2 linked regions of the Xenopus tropicalis genome follow. The protein of the gene in region 1 purifies or fractionates together with the protein of each later gene. This does not show direct contact. Links are inferred from orthologs where the notes say so. Each region holds a gene or a part of one and is shown in the gene's direction. Other genes may lie near its edges.

Region 1 (6,397 bases):
GTATCATCCTACTGGCTGTGAGCAGTGAGTTAAAGAGGTATGTGTAAAGACAAACAGGGTGCCATAGCCATGTGACCTGTGCTCTGATAAACTTCAGTCACACTTTACTGCTGCGCTGCAAGTTGGAGTGATATCCCCCCCCCTCCCAGCAGCCGATCAGCAGAACAATGGGAAGGGAGCAAGATAGCAGCTCCCAGTAGGTATCAGAATAGCACTCAATAGTAAGAAATCCAAGTCCATAGGTTAGCTGAAAGCAGTTCTAATGTGTAGCATGGCTCCTTCTGAAAGCTCAGACTCAGGCACACTTTACTGCTGCGCTGCAATTTGGAGTGATATCCCCCCCACACCCGATCAGCAGAACAATAGGAAGGGAGCAAGATAGCAGCTCCCAGTAGGTATCAGAATAGCACTCAATAGTAAGAAATCCAAGTCCGGCTTGGGACTCCTCCAGTTACATGGGAGTAGGAGAAACAATAGGTTAGCTGAAAGCAGTTCTAATGTGTAGCGCTGGCTCCTTCTGAAAGCTCAGACTCAGGCACACTTTACTGCTGTGCTGCAAGTTGGAGTGATATCCCCCCCCTCCCCCCAGCAGCCGATCAGCAGAACAATGGGAAGGGAGCAAGATAGCAGCTCCCAGTAGGTATCAGAATAGCACTCAATAGTAAGAAATCCAAGTCCAGCTTGGGACTCCTCCAGTTACATGGGAGTAGGAGAAACAATAGGTTAGCTGAAAGCCATGCGGTAACTATATCTGCCTGCTGTTCAGCAACATCATCAGCTCCAATCCCATTTTGTAACATCATGTGTTATAAAACCTACTGGCACTGGCAAGCCCCTATGCAAGGCTCACCTGCCAAGGAGGGTATTATCTTTTTTGCCCTATTATTAACATTGACTTAAATCATTTTTACCAGACAGGCCTGTAAAATATCAGTCAGATTGCAAGACAAGTTTATATTTTGCTGATAGTAATTTGCACGTGACACAGCCTAATTCCAAAAAATCAAGGAAATCACAATTGGGGCAGCTGACAAATCTGAAATGTAATAAATATATATAGTTTATATTTTACTGATAGAAAGGGCAAAGGGTTGCCACCTATTCTGGGAAAAAATACTAGCTTTCCTATATTTCTTTTTTCCCTATAACATTGGGGTCAAGCATAATTTTTCCCAGACGGCCAGGTCGCAACCCTACAATGTAAATGCCATATGTGCCAGAGCTGAATTCCAAAAGAAAAAACAAAATCACAGGCGGGGAAGCAGACAAATCTGAAATGTAATGATTTTGAAATGTGTCCCATAAAGTTCAAAGCAGGGTTGCCACGGGCCAGTATATTATCGGCCAGCCAAATAAAAATGTTTGATGACGATATTAAAAGGGCAGATATCGTTAACTTTTACACAATGTAATCTTTTAGTTATTCCTCCTCCAGGGGCACCTATTGCCATTTGGGCCTTGGGCATATGACCCTAAGGACAGGGGTACATGGGGAGATTAGTTGCGCTGCAACAAATCTCCATTGTCACGGGCTACTAATCTCCCCACAAAGCCATCCCACTGGCTAGAATGTAAATCGCTGGTGGGATGGCACATGCATCGATACGATTTGCCCAAGTTGCCTTGAGAGGAAACTTGGGCAAATCGTATTGATGCATATACCATCCCACCGGCGATTTACATTCTACCCAGTGGAATGGCTTTGTGGGGAAATAAGTATCGGATTACATTTGCGGCCATGGGCAGTCGGTTCGGGGACCGCATCAACGAGCCAATGCGGTCCCCAATCCGACTGGATTTTCTAACCTGCCCGATCGATATCTGGCCAATTTCAGGCCAGATATCGGTCGGCCAGGCTGCTCATTTCTGCCCATACACGGGCCGATTAGCTGCTGAATCGGTCCAAGGGACCCATATCGGCAGCTTCTATCGGCCCGTGTATGGGGACCTTTAGGGTGAAGACACACAGAGCTACTAAACACCCTACCATAGACAATACTGAGAATTGCCTCTGCTAAAACACATGTAAAGACAATTATCAGTAAATGATCAGCATTGTCTGTTTTAGTAGCTGCTACTAGTAGCTCCGTGTGTCTTCACCCATATGCTGATGTCCCACGGAGCAGCCGAGTCACCCGCGATAAATCTCTGCTATTGCGGGCAACTAACCTCTGCGAAAAGGCTTTCCACTGGCAACAATCGGAGCCCGGTGGAAAGCCATTGGCATCATTTCGGTAATCTGAAGCCGCAGTTTCCTCCCACAAGCAACTTCGCACAACAAAGTGATGTGAAAGGCTTTCCATCAGCGACTCCCATTGTTGCCAGTGGAAAACCTTTTCAGAGCAGTTAGTGTCCTGCCATAGCACAGATCTATTGCAACTGCTCTTGCCCTTATACTAGCCCTGATAAGGGACAGCTCCCAGGTATGTACATAACCTCTAAACGACCTTGCCGCAATATTAGTACTGTTACTGAATTATTTCTAAATGAATGAGTTAAATTATTGATACAGTTGCCATAAAACTTCATATAAATCATACATTTTGGCGAGACAGCCCTACATGACGCAGAACTCTCAGTTCCTGTCACTAACAGGAACTAACACGACTTTTCACTTTTTTCGCGCCTCACGGCGCTGGCCATGTCTACGCTCCTCCGATTGGCAGCATTTTCTCCCGCCCAGCAGCCACTATCGATTCATCGTTCAGCTTGTGCGTGTTCGGAGTTGCCATTGGATGGGTGTGCTGTCAGTCATGCGAACTAGATACGCGAGAATAAGGGCGCCACAGTCAGCTTCGGGATTGGTTTACAGCCTGCAGCTGTGCTGGCGCGGATTGGCCCAGAGACCTGTCACGCTCGCTCCTCATTCGCTGTACCGTCATGGCGCCAAATCTAAGCCCGTGAAGTGGAAGGGTCTATTAGATTGACGTGGATCGGGCTAGTTCCGTGGTTGATCGGAAGCTAAGCGGTGACGCTAAGCCTGCGGAACTAACGGGGAGTCGGTAGCGTGTGGTAGGCCTTCCCACCTCCGCTGCTGCAGGACAACTAAGAGGTACTCGGGCCTTCATTTTGCCGCTATCACCTTTTTACGATTCGGAGGCCAGATTTTGGAGCACTACAATTCCCTGTATGTTTTTTATGTATATATATTTACATTACAGGAACAATATAGCGGAGTTGCTTGTGTCTGCTTATACTTCGCAATAATTACCCGCCCGCATGGCCCTAGAAACTATAGATTTAGCGCTAATGACTCGCTAGCTTAGTGAACCCGCCCCTCTCTACCATTATGCCTTATGTACTTTCTTCTCGTTGCAGAGGTTGCTGTGCCCGGCCGCATCATTTTCAGTGTGAAGATGGAGAGGTGTCGTTCAGCTCCGGCTCATGTCAGAGGATCCAACCGCCTCTCTGGCCTCCCCGTGGTTAAGTCCCTGTTCTCTTGCGAGGCAGACACTGCCCTATCTCCGGTCACTAGCCTCGCTATCAATATGGACCAACTGGCAGGCCTGGGCAGGTAATGGCCATGAGGAATTACTACTTATGTGGTTTGACTGTTGGGTTGGACAGAAAAGGCTTCATGGTCACATCTGTTCTGCTGAGGGTGTCCAACATGTACCTTCAGCCATAGACTTTCTAAGGGTGCTGGGGGTTGTAGCCCAAAACAACCTGTATGATGGTCTATGTATATCAATATCTCCTGGATTGGGGACCCTGGCTTGGCTTATTGCAAGGGCCCATTCTACTCAATCTTGAGTCTGCGGTGCTGTTGCTGAACTACTTCCATTATCCCATGTTATGTTGTGCAGGGAGATGTAGTTTAACCTAGGCACCTAGAGACACAGGTTTGGATGAATGGGTCAGAGGCTATGGGGGGGGGGTTGTTTTAAGAAACCCATTTGCCCCCTCCTTGGCTTGTTAATGGTATTTTTGTTTTAGCCCCTCCTTCTAATGGTGGCTTTACAAACTATAGTGGGTGCCTGACTTATGTCTGCAGATTTGATGTATTTGCTTGTTGAGACTGGGCACAGTGATTGTGGGACTTCAGCAAAGTATGTCTTTACAGCCTGGATCTCTGTGCAATGCAGTCATGTGTTTACAGCCTGGATCTCTGTGCAATGCAGTCATGTGTTTACAGCCTGGATCTCTGTGCAATGCAGTCATGTGTTTACAGCCTGGATCTCCATGCAATGCAGTCATTTGGCTTGTTGGACATCCTGCAAATAAACATGGCACTTAGGAGTTATGCCCCTAAGTATTTACAGCAACAGGGTGTCACATGTGGAATGGCAGCCATTTTCCTTGCACATGTGGGTTACTAGGAATGAAACCTGGGCATGTTCGTTCCCAGCAATGCTGAAAGCAGAAGGAGGCGATCATTGCTATAAAGGGGCTAAAATCTACTAGTGGAACAGTCAGCAAGGGTGGTGCATTTCCTTTTATTCCCCGCGTTTCAGAGAAACCTTTCCCAGCTCCTCAGACTGAAATATTGCACACAACTAATCCGCAAACCCATAGTCTTTTATACAAGGCCCTGGTGCCCAGCAGTGGGGGTAGATTGACAACCTTCTCAGGGTACTGAGGGTCATTTTACCCCCACTTGTTCCATGTGTGCCAGAGTTCCGCTCAGACTGAGAGCCATTTAACTGGCTACTTGTCCTGCAGCATATGGCCCACTAGGAACAGGCTATCCATTAAAGTGGACCTGTAATAAATAATTCCAAGTCCTTTTCTATCATGTTAGTTGAGCAAAATAAACTTAAACTATATAATTTTTTTTATTATACGTGTTGGAACTTAGTCACAGCCAGCAGGGAGGCACCATTTTGTGAACACTGTTATTAAGGCAAAGCTTTGTATCCCCCCCCCCCCCCCCCCCCCAAAAATCATATGCATTTGCCATCTAGGTGATATCTAAGAAGTGCTGAAAGTCTGTGTAAAGCAATTTCTATATCAGTAGTGGGTGCTGAGGGAATAATCCATTGTATTTAGTATTGGGGTGATAACTGAAATGACTGAGCCTCAGATTAAAGTGCAAAACCTCTATGTTTGTAGTAAGCATGTTTTTTTTGTTTTCTGGTTGCTGTGGCAAAGATTCAAAATCGTGTTTTTTGTTTGTTTTTAATATACCACTATAGTTATAGGACGTCCTTAAAGTCTTTTTTTTTTTTTTTTTTCTTCCTATTTTAGCCAGTGTGAAACGCCGACACGTAAGCTCGGAGAGCGCTGGTCTATGAGAAGAACAGACTCTTCGGAATCTATGGACGCTGGTATGTCTTTGCCATAACATAAATGGCTTCAGTATATACAGATGTATTGTAAGGATCTGGTTACAGTGACTTGTAAATGGAGGTCTTTCTTGCTTCTCACTACCTGACTCCCATTTTGTTTGCAGGACTCTGTCTGGATTCTCCAATCAAGATGGATCTAAATGACACGGAAGAAACGTACGTATCTGTGCTTTCACCTTTTCAGTGCAAATCAAACTACTGGCAGCCATGCTTTTCTCAGGGCTGAAATGTTTTGCCCGTGGCACAGTTTAGCGAGCCTGCCTGGCAAACTTAAGGGGATTGCTATGGTGTGTAATGGACCTTCCCCTTTAAAGGGGCAGTGATTCTCCATTTTCAGCTGTTTCCAGTAAAACACATTTCAGGCATTCATAAGGTTTACACGCTGTTTAGCTTAATTAACAAATACCTGTAACTATGCAAATGATATCCATTCCAGAGTCTCCAACTCAGTGTTATATGAATGCACATTGCTTGACTCTCCCCAGAAGTCGCCATAACTGCTTTTCGCTCATATTTAAAATGCACTTTATTCTCCCTCTTAGGTTTCAGAAATCGACTCAGAATTCTGACAGGCTTGGACAGTAAGTATGTTTGTTAAAGATACAGTAGTGGGAATCATGGTACCCTGGTTAAACTAAGCTGAATTTAAAGAGAATTTCTGTAGAAATACAAATGGCTGCAGGAAGAGTATCCTTTCTTTGGCTGCTGACCCCACCCACTTCTTTCCCCTTTCCTGTAAGTTCTGTGTAATCATTCACAAACCTGAGGAAGCCGAGGGACCACTGTCTCAGGCTGCCCACCAAATGTCTGCCCACTTACAGGCTAATCTAGCTTACACAGGCAGCCAGTGTCCCTAGGCCAGTATGCATGCTGCTTTGTCTGAGCAAGGGAGTAGAATGCCGTGAAAAGACCTGCTTAAGTGACGCACTCCATTCCTGCCCCAGTGGGGTCACAAACAGAACATGCCGAGGTTGTAGATAACTAGGAGTTTACAACTTGCACCAAAAGTGTCATAGTTCTGACAATGTAGAGATTTTCTTGCTCATCCTCCATTGATCTTTTCACATATCAAAATGGTGTTTTTGTCTTTCTAGCACAAGGTTACCAAT
Region 2 (5,917 bases), about 42 Mb from region 1:
GCTTCTTTGGGAAGCAATGGGCTTATTATATGTCTGCTTAAATATTTGTATGTTGGCCTGACCTGCAAAAATCAACAATAAATATTCTACTGCATCTGTGCAGAGGGCTGCTAGCTGCTGCAATAGAAAACATGTCCCTGTGTGTGCTTTACTGCAGTAGGAATGGGACCCCTAAATGTATGCACATGTATCTCCTTATTCTGGTGCATGCTCGGCAACGGATTTGCATGCTGTGGTTAACTTATGTTGGATGCGCCTCATTTTCCAGCCCACACCTTGTGTTTATTAATATGGTAGTTGGCTAAGCACTTGTGAGTGTCCTTTTATTAAATAATTTGATTATTGAAACTTAGCAGTAGCGGCTGCATTTCCCACCCTAGGCTTATACTCGAGTCAATAAGTTTTTCCAGTTTTCTTAGGTAAAATTAGGTACCTCGGCTTATACTCGAGTATATACGGTACTTACAAGAACTCAAGCTTCATATCAGCACCCTTGAACTGAGGGCAGTTTAATATGCACTTTACTGGCAGCAGTGTCTGAAGGGCAAGCATGTCGGAATACAATCGGACAACAGCACCACCGTTTTACAAAGTATACAAAATTTATGTGATGGGTGGAGACGCACTAAATTCTCATATCGGCAGTATTCATTCCAGGGATTCAGAACTGGGAGGCGGACTATCTGAGTCACTCCACATTGGACCAAGGAGAGTGGCACCTCAAACCAGTAGTCTTTCAACATATAGTGAACAGATGGGGGTCTTGGCAGAAGGAGTGGATGCGCTTATCAGCCCATGGCACTGTCAGATGGCGTACGCATGCCGTCCCATTTTCCACTATCCATGTTGGCAGTGCAGAGTGTGATTTGCAGATCTGATACAGATCTCATCGGCATAACCATGGCCTCTTCCATTAATTGCAGATCTTCTCTCGCAAGGCCCAGCGGATGCAGAACACATACACAGGCTACTTGTTGTAGCTACTAAAATAGACAATGCTGATCATTTACTGATAACTGTCTCTACGTGTGTTTTAGCAGAGGCAAGCCTCAGTATCCATGGCAGGGTATTTTCTGGCGTTTTAGTAGCCATGAAAAAGTAGCTGCTACTAGTAGCTCAGCTTGTCTTCACCCTTATGGCTAGGTTGACCTTGAATTCCTGTCCTGGAAGATAGCCTTTCTCCTGATCAGTGTCCTTGGACAACATTTCATCAGGATAAAGTAGTTCTCTGCACAGTCCAATCTCACCTTTCTAAGGGCACATCATACTTTCACTTCTGTCCAAAGCCAACTAATGATTTTGAACAGCAACTACATACTTTGGATGCAGTAAGGGTGCTTAAAATCTACTTCCATAGTACTGCTGAGTTTAGGTTGGATGCCCTGTTCGTTTTGTAGCAACTACAAGCATCTAAACACTCCTTAGAAAGATGGATAGTCGCAGCTATTTGAGAGGCTTATAGGTCCCATGCCATTATGGCCTTTTCAGAAGCAGTCTTTGGCAGGAAGATGCTAGAAGCAGCAGCAGCAACATATCTAGCTCATGCCTTTTTCTTAGTTCAGCTGCATTGTTTTGTTTTTGGTTTTTTTTGAGGGTTTTGGGACTTCCCCAGTTGTCCTGCATTGACCGACTGAGAAAAGGAGATTTGGTTTTTTTTACCCTGAAACATCTTTTCTTGTAGGCCGTACTGTCAGTGCACCATTCCTCCCTTTTTGGGGTGCTAGTTATTGCTGCTCGTCACATTGATAGTTCGGTTCTTCTGTCTCCCCCAGCAGGCTTTGCGGGGTAAGAGGGGGAGACACGAAGAAGAAAGGGTTTCAAGAAAGACTTATCAAGGCCCCAAACCCTTTAACTCGGCACAAATATGGTGGACTTCCCAAATACCAACACTCACCCAAGATGATTGGGAGGAGGCAACAGACTCCATGTGTAACTGTCTCATCTCTACTAGAGACAGATTGATACAGTATAAAACCTTTCATCACCTGTATATCACACCATTAAGGTTGCACCAGATGGGCCGTACCCCAACAGATAAGTGCCCGAGATGTGCAGCCAGCCCTGCTAACTTTTTCATATGATCTGGGCATGTCCCCATATCGCTACGTTCTGGTCAGCAGTCACTAAATACTTATCGAATAACTTAGCCTTCCCTACTGTGACTGCTCCCGAAACTTACTAGCTTACTAGGAGTCCTAGACAGTATAATTGCTCAAAATAACTCCCGGATATGCTACAGAATTCTCCTGTTCTATGCAAAAAAAACAGTCGCAATGGATCGGATGGGCTCTACCCTGCCGACCGTTACAGCCTGGAAGAATCTAGTGAATGCGGTAGCCCCTCTGTATAAACTCACATACGAGACGAGAGACGCACCTGATAAATTTGACAAAATTTGGGGCCCTTGGTGTGACCTAGAGGGAAATTGATCGATCCCGCTCCTAGCTGCATAGTAAGTCCCCCAACGCCTTCCCACCTTTTTCTGCCATACCCTGAACATCTAACTCGGTAACGTGACGGACCCAATATGTTGGAACTGTTGCCAGACTCGCATTCACACTCTGTAATGTTAAACCTATCCCGTTGATGTTTGTAACAAATGTTAGAGATAGACCTGGAAAAGAAAGTCCAATACGTTTTCCTCATTGCACTATAAAATGTGTTATTTTATGTTTGTATGAAAATTAATAAAATGCACCTTTCAAAAAAAAAAAAAAAAAGACATCAGTTTGTCCTGCCTCCAGAGAGAAATAACTTAACCCAATGTCTTGCACTGCCAGGTAGGGCCTACGAGAAAAAGATTTTTCAGGTTAGAAAATCTCTTTATTTCACCCACAAATTGATTTTAGCTTTATATAGATTTATAGTGGACTGATATATTTGTAATTAATTGGTGCATTTAATGCTTAATTAAATGTGCCATTCTAGTATGATTGTGCCACCTATTGGTTGCAAACTGTAACTTGTAACTTATTTTACTCTTTATTAAGTGGGGTTTTCTAAGTGTTTTGCACCATCTGTTGGTTGAAAAGTGCAATAGGAGTTCCAATAGGCTACATTATATGGGAATAGTACAACCCAAATTTTACAGTTTTCAGTGGACCAAAAAATTCATGTAAAAGCCTGTAAAAATAGGTTAACACCTTAAGCAACTTTAAAGGTTTAGAAGAGCATTTCCAAGACCTGTAAATCGGATGCATAGCCTGACCCAAGAAGTCCTGTGTGGGCTGTCATAGGAGGTGCAAACTAATTGATGGTTTGTAAGGGCCAATTAGGACTTGTGTGAGTGAACTGGCACTTTGGAGGTAGGACCATTATCCTTGTAGTAGGATTCTTCCTTTCCCATGAGCACGATTCGAAACGGAGAACAAAAGCCTTTGGCTTTATAGTTTATTAATACAGTTAATCACTATAGGTGGGTGCTCTTATGAATGTGACAGTTCAACCCACTTATCATATGCAGAACACAAATAAAATGTTTTAATTCTCTTCCTTTACAGTTGGAACGCAGCTATCAAAGGTTTACAGCTTTTTATGCCAGCCGCCACAGTGGAAGGAAGTTGACTTGGTTATACCAGTTGTCTAAAGGAGAACTGGTCACAAACTGCTTTAAAAATAGATACACGTTGCAGGTATGTTGCAAGCAAAGAAGTGTATTGCTTAAATACCTAAAACAAATTGTGCACATCACATGTTGACTGTGAAGTAGAGGTTTGCAGTGCAGAACTGAGAGACAGCATGGTAACATTGCAGTTGGAACTAATGGAAAATTACTAATGATTTGGTACTGTTTAGTACTGCCTTGCTTTTGATGTATGATGTATACTGTGGTCTTTTTTCCCGATTCCTTTTTCAGGCATCCACATTCCAGATGGCAATCCTGCTGCAGTATAACACAGAAGATGCCTACACAGTGCAGCAACTGACAGATAGCACACAGATAAAAATGGTAACCGTATACAGTTTAAGGCCTCTATCTTATAAAAATTATGCTTGTTTGTTAAAAGCCATTATAGATTGTCACAGAGATAACTGTAATAATAACTATTTTGGCAGCTAGGGTTAGGCCTATGTGGGACAATTTTGATGGCTACTAGTAGTGCTGATCAGAACACACTTCTCCTTTCCCACTTACCAGTCTTGGAGCTCTGGGTGTAGATGACTTCATTTCTAGCATTGTCAGACTCTTGTCAGATTAAAGGTTAATGTCACATTTTTAGCAGAGGCACTGGAACTGCCTGTCCCGCCTGTCATTGTAATGACAACCTTTTATCTCCAGAATTCATATTGGACTAAGATGAGCCGTAATCCTAAACACCTAATGTACTTGCTAGAAGAATGGAAGCTCTTGGTTCACAAAGTCTAATTAGACTACAAATGTTTTCATGTGTTTCCTAATTCTAAATTAATCTTATCACACTGCTGCATTTCCTTTATTCCTTTTTGCAGGATATACTTGTGCAAGTTCTTCAAATTTTGCTGAAGTCTAAGTTATTGGTAAGTTTCACAGTTTCTGGTGTTCGCCTAAAACAGCAATAGGCTGAATACAGTTCTGTAGCTCAGAAGAAATTTTGGAATCGGGTCCCTTTAAAAGATTTTAAAAAAAATTGTGTTCATAGCGATCATTATCACATAGTTAAAGATCCCTGGGACTGTAAGCTTTCAGGCGTTAAAATATACTTTTAGGCTAATGTCACATGGTGTTTTGTCAACAGACTAAAAAAATGCCAATCTACTCTAACCCACCCCATGGCCATTAAGCAGTGACAGGAATCATGGGATTGGCATTTTGACAGCACCTTGCATGGTATAAGCCTTACTGGTGTTGAGGGCTTCCCCTTCTAATGCAAGTCATCCCTAGGTAATGATGGTTGCCACATAATAGCCAATGTAAGCATGGTCAGGGTTATTTATGTTTACATTTTGGGTGTCATTATTATACATTGCCCTCTGAAAGACAAGAAGAATCTCGTGAATTACACGACGTTGACATAAACATATGCTTAAGATGTTACTTACAGCTTAACTCATATGTTACTATACATTGCCTGTGTTAAGTGCATCTGCTGTATTTCTTCATTAGATCAGAGTAATCATAATAATTAGCAATTACTTGGAAATTACCTCACAGAGAAATAAAGTAGTAAGTGGTACTTGCCTTGAAAGCCAATGTATGGTAAGAGTGAAGTTGAATAGGTGTATGTACACGATAGGTCTGTACACTTTCCCTTTTGGCCAATCAAACCTGCAGGAGGAACAAAATTACTGGGGGTTGCCTAGCAAATTTGATCGAGTTTTATTCTACTTCAAATAAACATTTAAAAAAAAAAAAACTTGAATGTTTGCTTATTTATTTAAGATCTGAATATGAAAAACTCATTAGAATAAAAAAAAAAAAACTAATACCTTGAATTTTTGAGTTTACAAACTCAAAAATCTCGAATTGAAAATATGGCTTGGTTTTGTCTAGGACAACTCCATTGTCATCTACGTAAACACGCAAGCTTTTAGATGCCGACGTTTTACATTACAGTTTTTGGTGTTTTTTTTTTTGCACTCAATAAATATCAAATATTTGAGTTTTTGAACCATAATTACAATACATTACAAAAATTACAATCACCCCCTTGTTGTCTTTCTATTAATCCTAGCATTTGTGGGTGAATGCATGTGCTATAGAAATGTTTTTAGGCTATATCCCCTCGTTCACAAAGGGGAATCCTTCGGAGGGGATAAAACAACTGCAATTTTTTAAAAAAGAATCAGTGAGGGCCTGAGAAATTGGCATACCCCAGTGAGTTTAGCCTGCACTTCTTTTGTACTACAAACAGCTGGAACTGCAGGAAAGAAATATATTTGGCTAATTATAGAGCTCACTTACTCAATATACCATCACCTTGCGTACTCTGTTTTTTGC

What was found. Proteins that work in one complex are often made in the same cells at the same time.
Region 2: the proteins of cdc25a (region 1) and cul1 purify together in Homo sapiens (affinity purification with western blotting; 6 studies listed by BioGRID, with this or other methods). This does not show direct contact. The link is inferred for Xenopus tropicalis from reciprocal best matches to the Homo sapiens genes CDC25A and CUL1.

What each region holds. Positions count from the first base shown.
Region 1 is NC_030682.2:12,717,766-12,724,162, forward strand, and holds the start of cdc25a (M-phase inducer phosphatase 1), read left to right. Parts: upstream 1-2,801; 5' UTR 2,802-3,127; intron 3,128-3,318; 5' UTR 3,319-3,356; coding exon 3,357-3,514; intron 3,515-5,187; coding exon 5,188-5,267; intron 5,268-5,392; coding exon 5,393-5,444; intron 5,445-5,830; coding exon 5,831-5,869; intron 5,870-6,382; coding exon 6,383-6,397. UniProt on the Homo sapiens protein: Tyrosine protein phosphatase which functions as a dosage-dependent inducer of mitotic progression. Directly dephosphorylates CDK1 and stimulates its kinase activity. Also dephosphorylates CDK2 in complex with cyclin-E, in vitro.
Region 2 is NC_030682.2:55,181,103-55,187,019, reverse strand, and holds part of cul1 (cullin-1), read left to right. Parts: intron 1-3,500; coding exon 3,501-3,632; intron 3,633-3,856; coding exon 3,857-3,949; intron 3,950-4,449; coding exon 4,450-4,497; intron 4,498-5,917. UniProt on the Homo sapiens protein: Core component of multiple cullin-RING-based SCF (SKP1-CUL1-F-box protein) E3 ubiquitin-protein ligase complexes, which mediate the ubiquitination of proteins involved in cell cycle progression, signal transduction and transcription.